Oryzias latipes: one gene and its partners. The protein of the gene in region 3 interacts with the protein of the main gene of each other region in a biochemical or structural test. Links are inferred from orthologs where the notes say so. Each region holds a gene or a part of one and is shown on either strand. Other genes may lie near its edges. The genes, in order: gadd45b, mapk8ip2 and map2k7.

Region 1 (3,400 bases), on a different chromosome or scaffold from region 3:
GTCACTCCTACATGTTTTCTAACGTATTTTTATCATGTAGGGTCAAACTCAAGATGGAAGCAGAGATCAAATAACTCATTGATCTGCACCTTGTCCAGAAAAAACACGAGTTTTGCAAAAAGGTTTAAAAATATGAGGCTAAACCTAAAAAAGAAATCTGACTGAAAAAAATGCAGGATTTTTAGAAAGAAAGACTTGTCAATTGAGATTTTCTGTCCAATTGGTTACATTTTTGCCTTTTTTGATTCTAAGTCAACCTTTTTCTCCCTTAGACTACAGTAAAGTACAGTAGTGCACTCAGATTCTGGCTGTGACAAGCAGCTTTGATACTCTCAGCTTCTATCAACCTATTTTGTTTTAGACACAAATGTCAATATGTAAATAAATCCACAACGGTTTTTTTCTTTCTTTTTAAACACTAATAAAGCCATTAGCTACTTTTTTTAAACACCTGAAGTCATCCTTCTGGGTAAAGGGCCCCACTTTGCACCTGTAAGTCTCAACAATGACTAAACTATAAATGTAGTAACCTCTAAGTAATCTAGTAGAAAAACTTCTATATAATGTCTTCTCAGAGACTGCTCTGGGTCTAGAGAAGCAGAAAGTGACATCATACTCTTCACAAAAGGAAAAAAAAGGCAGAAATCACTGTTTGTTCAATGCATAATTTATTTAAATAAATGAGATTCAACATGTAGGTCCATTTTTTTCATATATTAATCTGTGCACTTAAATAACAGAAGGTTTCGTGCGTAAACAGGTGAGCAAGACACCTGGCTCTGTCCATTGCAGCTCCTCGTTCATGCATCGGTTCAGTCACGTGACGCCTCCGCTGTCGTCACCTCGTTTAAGAAAAAAAAAAAAAACTTGCAACGCTCCCTGACCCGGAGCCTCCAATCGCGCTCCTGGCGCGGCGGTTCAGCACCGACGCCATCATCCCACGCGCTCCCGTGATTCCGTCTAAAAGGCGGACTGAGGCTCGTCGAGCTCCCTTGGGGAGGAGAGTCGTGCTCCCCCTCTTCACCACGAGGGTCTTGGCTGTTCTCAGCTTCTTCTCACCGCTCCTCGGGCGGTAGGCAAAAGGCAAAAATGGAAAGGTTCAGTTGCGCTCAGCGGTCCTTCAGCTCCAAGCAGGGAACCCACAGGTTCCTGCAGCGGCTCTCTGCGCAGAAGCTGCTGACGTCCTGCAGAGCTTGACACTGGAGCGGCTGCACGGGGGGGTTCTGCAAACAGATGAAAGGGGGGGGGGTCATTTTCATGCTTCAACACGGTCCTGTGGATGCACTGAAAGTGGTGCGTTAAGTGAAGGAGAAACTTACAGTGACCAAGATGCAGTGCAAGTCCCGGGGCTCGTTCCCGTTGCTGTTCTCGGTGTCCTCCCCCAGCAGCTGCGCCAGGCGCCTCATGCCGGACACCCGGAGGATGTTGATGTCGTTATCGCAGCAGAAAGCCTGCAGCAGCGTGAAGTGGATCTGCAGCGCGATGTCGTCCGCGTCCTCCTCGTCGGTGGCGAGAAGACACAGAACCACACTGTCTGGATCTCTGCAGGAGCAAACAGAAGAAAGCCGGGTTAGCGCGCGCCTTTTGGAGCCATTTCAGACGCGTCTCGTGGAGAAGAAGAACTTACACATTCATGAGTTTGGCGGACTCGTAGACTCCCACTGTGAGGCAGTCCTGCCTCTGAGCCGCGACCAGCAACTCCTCCAGAGCCTGACTCACCGTCTCCATCCTGCAGAAAACAAGGAGGCGGTTAGAAACCGGGGCGCGCACTGCGTAACGCATCTCAAACAACACCGCTAAACTGCAACTAACGGAGAATTAGGGCAAAGACAGCTTTTCAGACACTTACTTTTTGTCGGTACTGCTGGATCCAACAACCTCCTCAAGAGTCATGCTGAAGTCAGTAAAATAATCCACAAGCTCCAGGATAAAAAACAGAATCCCCAGCGATGCTGAGACGCGTTTAGATCCAAAGGTAGAGTCCCGGCAAAACAAATGTAATCCAGATAGGTTTTTGATCGTTGTTCCGTCCGTGATTGAGTTCTTAGTCCGTGTTCTTAGTCTGTGTGAAGGTTTCTGTCCTCTTACAGTCGAAACTGTCCGCTTTTATAGGCGGATCGGCGCTTCTTGACGCGCCCAGACGCTTGCTCTCGCTGATTGGTTTCGCCGCAGATGGGGAGCGCAGCGATTGGTTGGGCGGGCGTCAACTGCCGGTGCTCCCACGTGGGTGGTTTCGGAGAATCCCCCGCTCTCAGCCCTCCTCCTCGTCGTATGTCTCCGTTCTCTCCACTAAGCGTGTTTACTGGGAGCTTTCGATCTGAGTGGAGGAATTTCCAGATCTTCCTGCTTCCTCTCACCAGAAACTTAGGGGGCTACAAAAAACAAAACTGCACAACCACCCAACGGTGCAGCACCTGCCTGAGGAAAGTCTCGAATTGGAATCAGATGATTTTCTTTTTTGTTTGAAAGCTTAGGACCATGGCAGGTGACTGCCCCGTGTCAGAGCACGAGCCCCAGCTTGTGTAACGGCAGCCCGGCGCTGCAAGTTGTGCAAGAGTGTTTTTTTTAACGCATACCAAATAACAGTAAAAGATCATGCTTTTTAATATTAGCAGAAGTGAAAAGTGTGGTTTTGATTTTTGCAAGTTCATTCTGCTTCTTAATACTCGCTCCTTACCGCCCCCCCCCCCTTAACCATTATCCCATTAATCTCCTTTCACCATGCAACTGCAATATGCAGAACCATCCAGAAAAACAGTCAAAAATAATAAATCAAACTGACTGCAGACTGTGCGTAAACTTACACTCAAGTGTTTCAGCAAGCTTGCATCACTCATGAGCTCCAGGTTTCATCAGAGCTTCCTGCCCCAACACACAGCTCTCGATCGCCCCCTAGCGGGGGAAAAGGAAATCTTGCAGGAAAAAAGTTTCTGCAAAACCAGTCTGGTTGCAGGAAGAAAGGGGAGGGGGGGGGATTCCTGGTGCTCCTCAGGGACTTGAAGGGGGCTTCTTACGTGGGAAATTTGCGCGAACTCGCAGGTTGTTTTATTTTTATTATTTTTTTAGGTGGCCTTTTAGGGAATTTCTGATTTGAGGTCCAGGATATAAAGCTTATCAAAAAGAAAAAAAGTGGGTTTCATTTCAGAGCGATAAGCATCTAAAACTATTTCAAAGACGTTGTTAACTGAATTAAACACAAATGACTGGAGATGCCCCTTAAAAACATAAATCTGGAAGACTGAAAACGAAAATAACTGCACAGGTTTATTGAGTGAACAAACTTCATGCACAAGGAGTCAGTTTTTACTTAAAATATTGTGATTTATAGTAATTTTCTTTAATATTTCAACATTAGTTCTTAAACATTTCCAGCCAAAGTGTTTTTCTTATCTTTAAATCT
Region 2 (4,091 bases), on a different chromosome or scaffold from region 3:
TTCCCATCAGGGGTCGCCACGGCGACTCAACCCTGTCTTCTGCCTCCTCTCCCCTAACACCGACTACCTTCATGTTTTTGTTCACTGTATCGAAAGAAAAATAAATACTTGGGTAACATTTTGTAAAAGCTTCAGTAAGTAGACGCATGGTTTTCATAAGGATGCATTTTAGCGATGAGAATCCACTTCACTGTGATATCATCTTTAGAAGACATTTAATGCTTTTTGTACTGACTCATTAACCGGATCATATCCCCAGACTTTTGAAACTCCTTCCATCTCCAGGAAAGCTCAGGCATATACTGTAAACAGATGAGTCATGCTTTCGGGCTCATAGCCCCCCACTCTTGTCTGTGATGATCCTGCCACGTTTGATCTACAGGGGGCTGTGAGGCACGAATCTGTTGCAGATGATTTCATCTAGATTCATCTGGATTTGGATTAATGAAGTCATGAGGTAAAACCCCAGAGCTGCAGTTGAACTGAAACCTCTCGGAGTTGTTGATCAAACCAAATGCGTTGAAATGTTTCTTTCCAATAAGGCCAACATTTGATAGAAAAACATCTACAGCTACAGAGACAAACAACCAGAAAGAGAGAAAAATGACTAAAAACTGGAGAGCTAAGGCAGCAGAAATGAATCTGTATTGACTTAAGCCTCTTACCCCCTACCATACCCACCACCACTCCCATCCCCCTTTCTGCTTTCTCCAACTGACTTCAAAGTGTTGGGAGGCAAAAGTAGAACACTGATGTTTAAGCCTGCAATGATGGGAGGATCAGACAGTCGCATTAAGCAAAATCAGTTTCTTTTAAATGTCCTGTTAAAAGGTTTTAACTATGACACATGTAAAAATGCAGGTGCTTGTTGTGCAGAAAAGGGGTTCAATCCATCTGCAAGTCCACACCAAAGTGTAAGTGAGATATTCAGTTTGTGTGACAGAACAGTGTTGTGTTACTAAGGGTTCGGAACAGGCATGAGTAGTAAATGCAGGGTGTGTTGTTTATGGTTCCGCTGGGGTGGGATCAAATCCAATCACTTTGGAGAGAATCCAACGTGATAGTAATGAAATTTGTATTTTTAGCCCTATTTATCTATGCAGAGTCTATATGGAGTCCAAAATAAGCCAAAAACTTTTCTTCACACAAAAACGTGAACAAATCTAAACGAAGAAAAAATGGTGTCTTGGCACTGGTGACTTTTGACATAATTATAAAAAGAAAAAGACCTCCAAAACAATAGGATTCAAGCACAAATACTGACCTGGCCCTCATAAAATAAGATTCATTCCTTCTGCATTTGGAGTGCACTTATACTTATTACCAAAAGGATTTCAATTTTATTTTGGAAACGGTTGATGTTTTCTGTTTTTTTCCCTAAAAGTTCACTGCCACATTTGCAATGTTCTTGGAGTGGAGTTGGAGTTGGACTGGAGCGAGAATAGCCTTTAAAGAGTTCTTTATATTTTCATATTAAGGAATGGACAGCATGAAATGAAAAGTGACCCAATTTGATGTAAATGTTTTGCAGTAGGGCGAAATTTTCAATATAGATATTTTGGAATGCTTTCATTTCTACCACCTAATGGGTTAACAACAGTTCTGTGTCAACAATAGTCTGATGAAGAAGCCATGACATAATGGATTGATGCTCCTAATCATATTTTCTTCACCCATAATTTGGATTTTGTGGTGTTTCATAGGATGTTGGTGACTGAAAATAAATTAGAAAGACTTGAAGAGCATTAGAAACAACAACAACAAAATTACATTTTGGCCACAAAAAAAGCATGAGACTGATCCACAATGTTTTTAAAACACAAAGAAACTTGGCTTGTGGTTTCTTGTTGGAAATATAATCTGCTGTTGGCGAGTGGAGGGTCTTAGTTATGAGGTCACTGGCTTAAAAAAAATCAAATCAATCCCTAATGAACCATCTATGAGACTGTTGACCTCACATCCAAACTGGGCATAGCAAATCCAGATCAAGCACTGGGATAATGCTACCATGGCTGTTTCTGGACCATGAGCAGCACACATGCCGACATTCAGTCCATTCGTTTGTGAAATGCAAAAGAAAATTACAATTACCTTTTTCCTGATGGCTGTTTACTTTTCTTTGTGCAGCATCCTTTCCATACGTTGAAGTATTTAAAGATGGCACAGCCATAAAACTGCCACTATCATAGTTTAATGTGGCTGGAAACAAAGTTGAAGTTTCTCAACACAGCAAAAGCTGTTTCAAGTCATCTGCTATTTTGCGTCTGGTTACGGACAGATCTAAATGTTTGGCTTAAAAAAGGTCAGAGTTCTTCCTAGGGGCTTCACGAACATCAGTGGGACTTCCTGCATCTTTGTTCGGTACTCTTTCTTGGGTTGGACTCATCAGGGCGTGGGCCTCGCACAGAGAATGCGCAAAGGGGAGAATGTCGCGAGCTTTCAAAATATCTGTCATAGAAAATGGGCTGCTTGTTTTTCCTTGTAACAGTTTACGGAGGAGGTGACTTTAAAAAAAAAGAAGAAAACTAAGAAAAGATCGTGATTGATGCGCTGATCTGCACCCTGATGCGCGCAGTCAGGCACCCACAGGCCTGTGGTGATCCCAAATACCCAGGCTGGGAGCGCGCGTTTGTTTTTCATGTTGCGCATCGCGCCCGTGCGGATTCACTTATATTCTGAGCATCTTTTCCCGCTCTATTAGTGATTTTTTTAAAGGCCAGCTCTTACCTGCATCCCGGAGGAGAGAGGGAATGAAAAGTGGACAGCGAAAACATCTCAGCTCTGTCCGCCATCTTCTACCACCAATGACTCAAAGCGACTGCAGAAAATCAGGATGGAGCGCAGTCCATTAACAATCACAAGGCCAGAGAATGGACGGCGGTTTGTCTGCTCTGCAGCCCCCGCAAATGCCTGCCTGGGCGCAAGCCTTCAATCAGACGCGGCTGCTCAACACCCCAACGCATCTGCAGTCAACCATCCGCACGAACAGGCTGCGGGGATGAAGCAGGGGCTGCAGAGCCGGCGGCGGGAAGATAAAAAAAAAAAGCCGCGTTCCTAATGTAAGTCCACGCGAGGCATGAAGGTTTCCTGCCCACAGTCCGCGCGATTCGCCCGTTGAATGTCCGTGATGCTGGCTGGTGGTAACACAACAGCAGCGGGCCAGCAGTGCGGAGACAGGGAGAGGCGAAGAGGAGGAGGGGGTTGGGGGGAGCGACGTAACGTCAGTGTCGTTGCTGTGTGAGCAATCAGTGCTGAGAGGATGCAGGCAGAAACACTGGCGTAGATCCCCACAACATGCAGCACATGTCCTTGAGAGGAGGACGACCAGCGCAGGGATTGATTGAGCCAGTATAACGATGGCATTCAAATGTGTCTCTTAACGAAAAGAATAAAGATATTTAATTCTAGAAGTCGATGTAATTTTTGATGGTTTACCCTAAACATTGTGGGCTGCTTGGTAGAATGGAAACGAAGCAATGAGGGACGCAGAGTGTCGCTGTTCACCACCTGTGGTACTGAAACTGAGCGAGATCTTGAAATGCTGTTCAACAGCCGTACCACACGGGGTCACTATAAGGAGACAACTATGAATACTTATCTCTGTATAATAGGGGTGTTACGAATAATTTTAAAGATTCAATTCATATCATAATTTCTAGCTCCCGATACAATTCATTGAAAATATTGTTTTATTTTCAACAATCCGATTTGTTCCAATTGACTGGCCTAAAATAAATCCAGGACATCTTTAGACAAAAATGTAACCAGTGTGACTCAGACATAAACACCTGGATACTGAACAGTGCAGGGGAAGTTTTCCAGATTCCTTGTATTTTAATCAAGGAATCTGGGAATCAAGTTTGAATTAAATGTGTACAAACAAACAAGTAAACAAGAATGAATGGCAAATCTATTCACATTTTAGTTTGCTAAAGTTCCACCCACTGTTGTTTTTCCACATCAACACAATAAAAACGAAACATTATAAGAAGATTCTACCACACTGTTTTGTCGCATGTATTTGCTAAATTCAGTGTTTCCACACATTGGACTGCAATGGTTACTTGATCAGTTTTCCTTGCCATCCTGTG
Region 3 (3,651 bases):
CCCCGCTTCCTTTCACCAACCATTTTCCCCGAACAGGCCGACCCGTCCGGGCCGCTCCTGGACCCAAACACTGGTGCTCCTGGCAGAGCCCTATCTCACTCGTGCAGAAAAACTCTGAGCAGCAGGAAGTGACTGCTAGCAGACATTTAGTCTAGTCATACCTCTAGTATGCAGTGAGACCGCGTCACTGAAGGGTGTAAACACAGATTCCACTGGACATGATCATTATTTGTGTTTGTGTGGCTGCTATGGGGGTAACCATTGATCGATGAACTGTAGATGACTTCCCGTTGAGGCTTAATGTGTATTTTAAGAAGCTCAGCCTGCCTGCATGGCTTTAACGGGATAGGAAGTCCTTACACGGCAGAAGGCTTTTGCTTCTTCGATGTGGACGTACCAAAAAATTCAAACGAGATAAAAAAAGAAGATACGTTTGGCTAAAACAGTAGTTTTTTAGGTAATTTAGCTGAAAGCAAAGGTCAGAGTAGCTGTTCTGGGCGGAGTTGTGCCGTCGTCCAGCGGTGCTGGAGCCATCTTTAGGTGTAGCGTTTGCAGCCTCTTTAGGACTCTAGAAGATCTATAGCAGTGGTCCCCAACCTTTTTCAGGCCACAGACCAGTGTTAATGTCAGACAAACATTTCACGGCCGGGCCTATATGAGGCTGAAATGGGCCTTCCGTTTCTTAACTTTTGAGGGTAAAGTTTGTCTTCGTCCTCTGTTAAATTTCTGCAGCTGCTTTAAACTTAATCGTTCACTAGATTTCCTGTAGGAACCATTAAAATGTGAAGAAGATTTTCTCTTCAAAGTTGAAGCTAAAAATCAGACGCCAACTTCAGCCTCGTCCGACTTTTAGGGGAAAAAGGGTCACTACAGCTGGTATTTTCTAAATCTAATAATAAACTTGAATCGACTGAACAACTTTATTAGCAGCAGCAGCATCGCAACATTAGCTGCCAGGTGCTGAGTATTCTGCATTATTATTATTATGGTCTGTGGAAACAACTGTCAGAATTAATTCATATTTGGAGTAAAGCCTCCTGGCTTTTGTCTGGTCGATACAGCTTTCTTTCTGTTTCCTCGCTGGATTATTTCAGCCACAAGAAACTTTCCTATTATATTTATGTTGTGTTGACTCTCCCAGCCCGGGGGTTTCAGTTTAGCGCTCGTAGCAGCCGCTTTATGAAGGTGTCAAATGGATTTTCGACGCGTGTCCGAGCGACTCGGCGTGCGTCAGGAACGAGTCGGAAATGGTGGAGAGGATTCAGGAGTTTTCCAAAATAAAACTTCCACGTAGGTCGTCCTTTTTTCCTTTGCAGCCCGCCACCCACTGTCCCACAGACTGGTACCGGTCCGCGGCCCGGGGTTTGGGGACCACTGGTTTAGAAAACACTTATGCCCTTTAATTCTACATACCTAAAGAGGTTCAGGCTCCTTTATGCTACATGGACTTTAGCTCAACAGAAGGAGAGGGACAACAAATCGATCAGTCGGCTCGCCGATTTGATGAGAGTTATGGTTCATCTTAATCACAAATGTTTAGCTGGTTATTTGTAGGGAAATGTTTTTATTTTTTAAGGAACAAAGCGTGTTGAAACCAAAGACTCAGACGTGAGGGCTGTAAGTCCTGACTGGTCCTCAAAGCACTGAACGAGCTGCTGGGTGTGGGGAGCGTACCTCCACCTGCAGTCCGCTTTCTTTTAACGCCACCGTCTCTCGCTCCAACCCAGCCCTGCAGCTGCCCCTGGCCAACGATGGCGGCAGCCGCTCGTCCTCTTCAGAGAGCTCGCCCCAGCACCACCCGTACCCCAGCCGCCCCCGACACATGCTCACCCTGCCCACGCCTCCCTACGGCCTGCAGAAGAGTCTGGAAAAGTAAGCTGGAGCCGGAAAACTGCAGCAGAGTGGGATCTGGAAGATTGTCTGTGATTACTCGTATAAAAGGGGGGTGGTGGGTGAGATCTAATGTAAAGAAACGTTAAGGATTTACATATAAGCCATCTGTAAAGAAATATATTTTTTTTTTTTCCGTATAGATTAATTTGAAAAATATTAATTCCAAAATCTTATTTAGAATTTTTTTTTTTCTCACAAATTCTGGACAAAAGTCAAACTTTCATAATTGAACTAAAGAATTCTTAGATTTAAAAACTTTTTTTTACCACTTAAAAAACATTAGAATATTGTTAGAAAGGATAATTGATCCATCAATTTGATGAATGCATATTTATGTTGGAGCTATCCAGATATCATTTAATTGAAGATTGATTTACTTTTTTTTACTTCCCCTAATATTTATCCAAAACCAACGCAGAGAAGCTTCTCTTGTCAAAACATGGGGGGGGTGTTTCTAAAGGAGGTTTGTGGTTGAACTTCTCAAACTTCCTCTCATTCTAAAAAGTCACCCTTTGGTTTGTAACGCGTCTCAAACTAAACCTCAGCCTCTTTGATTTTCTTTTAAGGATCTGACTTTGCGTTGCTTTCAATGACATCTGTATTTTTCCTTCTTCTGTCTGTTTAGTGCTGAAATTGACCAGAAATTACAGGAGATCATGAAGCAAACGGGTTACCTGAAGATTGACGGTCAGGTGAGACATTGAGGACGGATTTCTGGCATATAAAGATAATCTTTTAAGAATATAAATATATAATTGTTTTTTGGGCTATTGTTCTAAAGGTTGTGCAAGTTACTTCTTTATGGTCGTGAATATATTCACTTTTGTTCACTTCTCGCTGTGAAATTTTTATTTTTGTTGATGTTCATGAGGAGAATTTTCATTTTTTTCCTGCTGTTTAGCTTTGATTTATTTCCTACAAGCAGCTAAAACAAAAACACAACGAGAAAACGATCCCAAAACGAATAAATCCCTAAACTAAACATAAAGGAAACCATGTTGATAAAAACTGGAAAAGTCCCGGTTTGTCCTCGATGAAAGTTCAGACTTCTGTCCGTGTGAAGAAACGTCTCAGAAAAATGTCTGCATCCTTGGGATGTTTATTTTCGTGTCTGATAATCTCAAGCTCTGTGTAGTGTTGGGTTTTTTGTTTCCTCCATCAAGCTCCAGTTTCAGACTGTGGCTCTAAAGATGAAAACAATCTGAGAACAGCGGCTGTAGTCCTTCTCTTCATTGATCTTAGAGAATTGAAAACATGGATTTATGTCCATTTTTATGGCCACTGAGTTGATTTTATTCGGTTGGAACTGGAAAAAAACCCTTTTCTATGACCTCACACTTGGTTTTCAGTTATGTTAGAGATTATTTCCAAAATATTTTGCTTTTAAAAGAAAATTATCTACACATTTAACTCTAAAATACAGTGATTGATTATTACAGTAAAAAGAGACAAATAAGTAGTTTGTACTGTAAGAGTCTATACATATATAAATATAATTTTTATGTCCCATTTACAGAATATCTCGTTTTTGTAATTTATGTTGAGTTTGCTAGAACGTGTTTGGTTTTTTTTCTTTGTCTTCATGATTTATTTTTTCTAGAAACACATTTTCTAGTCTAATTTTTAAAAATAGGATTTTCCATTAAGATGAATATCTTTTTAAAAATGTAGTTATTTTTGTTTTGATTCTATACAGAAGGAATCTTTGTAAATCTACACCATAATCTTCATTTTTCTCGGTTTGGGTAGAATTTTGTT

What was found.
Region 1: the proteins of map2k7 (region 3) and gadd45b form a complex in vitro, tested with the Homo sapiens proteins (2 studies listed by BioGRID and IntAct). The link is inferred for Oryzias latipes from reciprocal best matches to the Homo sapiens genes MAP2K7 and GADD45B.
Region 2: the proteins of map2k7 (region 3) and mapk8ip2 form a complex in vitro, tested with the Homo sapiens proteins (2 studies listed by BioGRID). The link is inferred for Oryzias latipes from reciprocal best matches to the Homo sapiens genes MAP2K7 and MAPK8IP2.

What each region holds. Positions count from the first base shown.
Region 1 is NC_019862.2:22,490,540-22,493,939, forward strand, and holds gadd45b (growth arrest and DNA damage-inducible protein GADD45 beta), read right to left. Parts: upstream 2,098-3,400; 5' UTR 1,894-2,097; coding exon 1,850-1,893; intron 1,730-1,849; coding exon 1,628-1,729; intron 1,543-1,627; coding exon 1,320-1,542; intron 1,224-1,319; coding exon 1,110-1,223; 3' UTR 646-1,109; downstream 1-645.
Region 2 is NC_019864.2:20,580,500-20,584,590, forward strand, and holds the start of mapk8ip2 (C-Jun-amino-terminal kinase-interacting protein 2), read right to left. Parts: upstream 2,908-4,091; 5' UTR 2,793-2,907; coding exon 2,728-2,792; intron 1-2,727. UniProt on the Homo sapiens protein: The JNK-interacting protein (JIP) group of scaffold proteins selectively mediates JNK signaling by aggregating specific components of the MAPK cascade to form a functional JNK signaling module.
Region 3 is NC_019859.2:2,782,359-2,786,009, forward strand, and holds part of map2k7 (dual specificity mitogen-activated protein kinase kinase 7), read left to right. Parts: intron 1-1,727; coding exon 1,728-1,872; intron 1,873-2,518; coding exon 2,519-2,585; intron 2,586-3,651. UniProt on the Homo sapiens protein: Dual specificity protein kinase which acts as an essential component of the MAP kinase signal transduction pathway. Essential component of the stress-activated protein kinase/c-Jun N-terminal kinase (SAP/JNK) signaling pathway.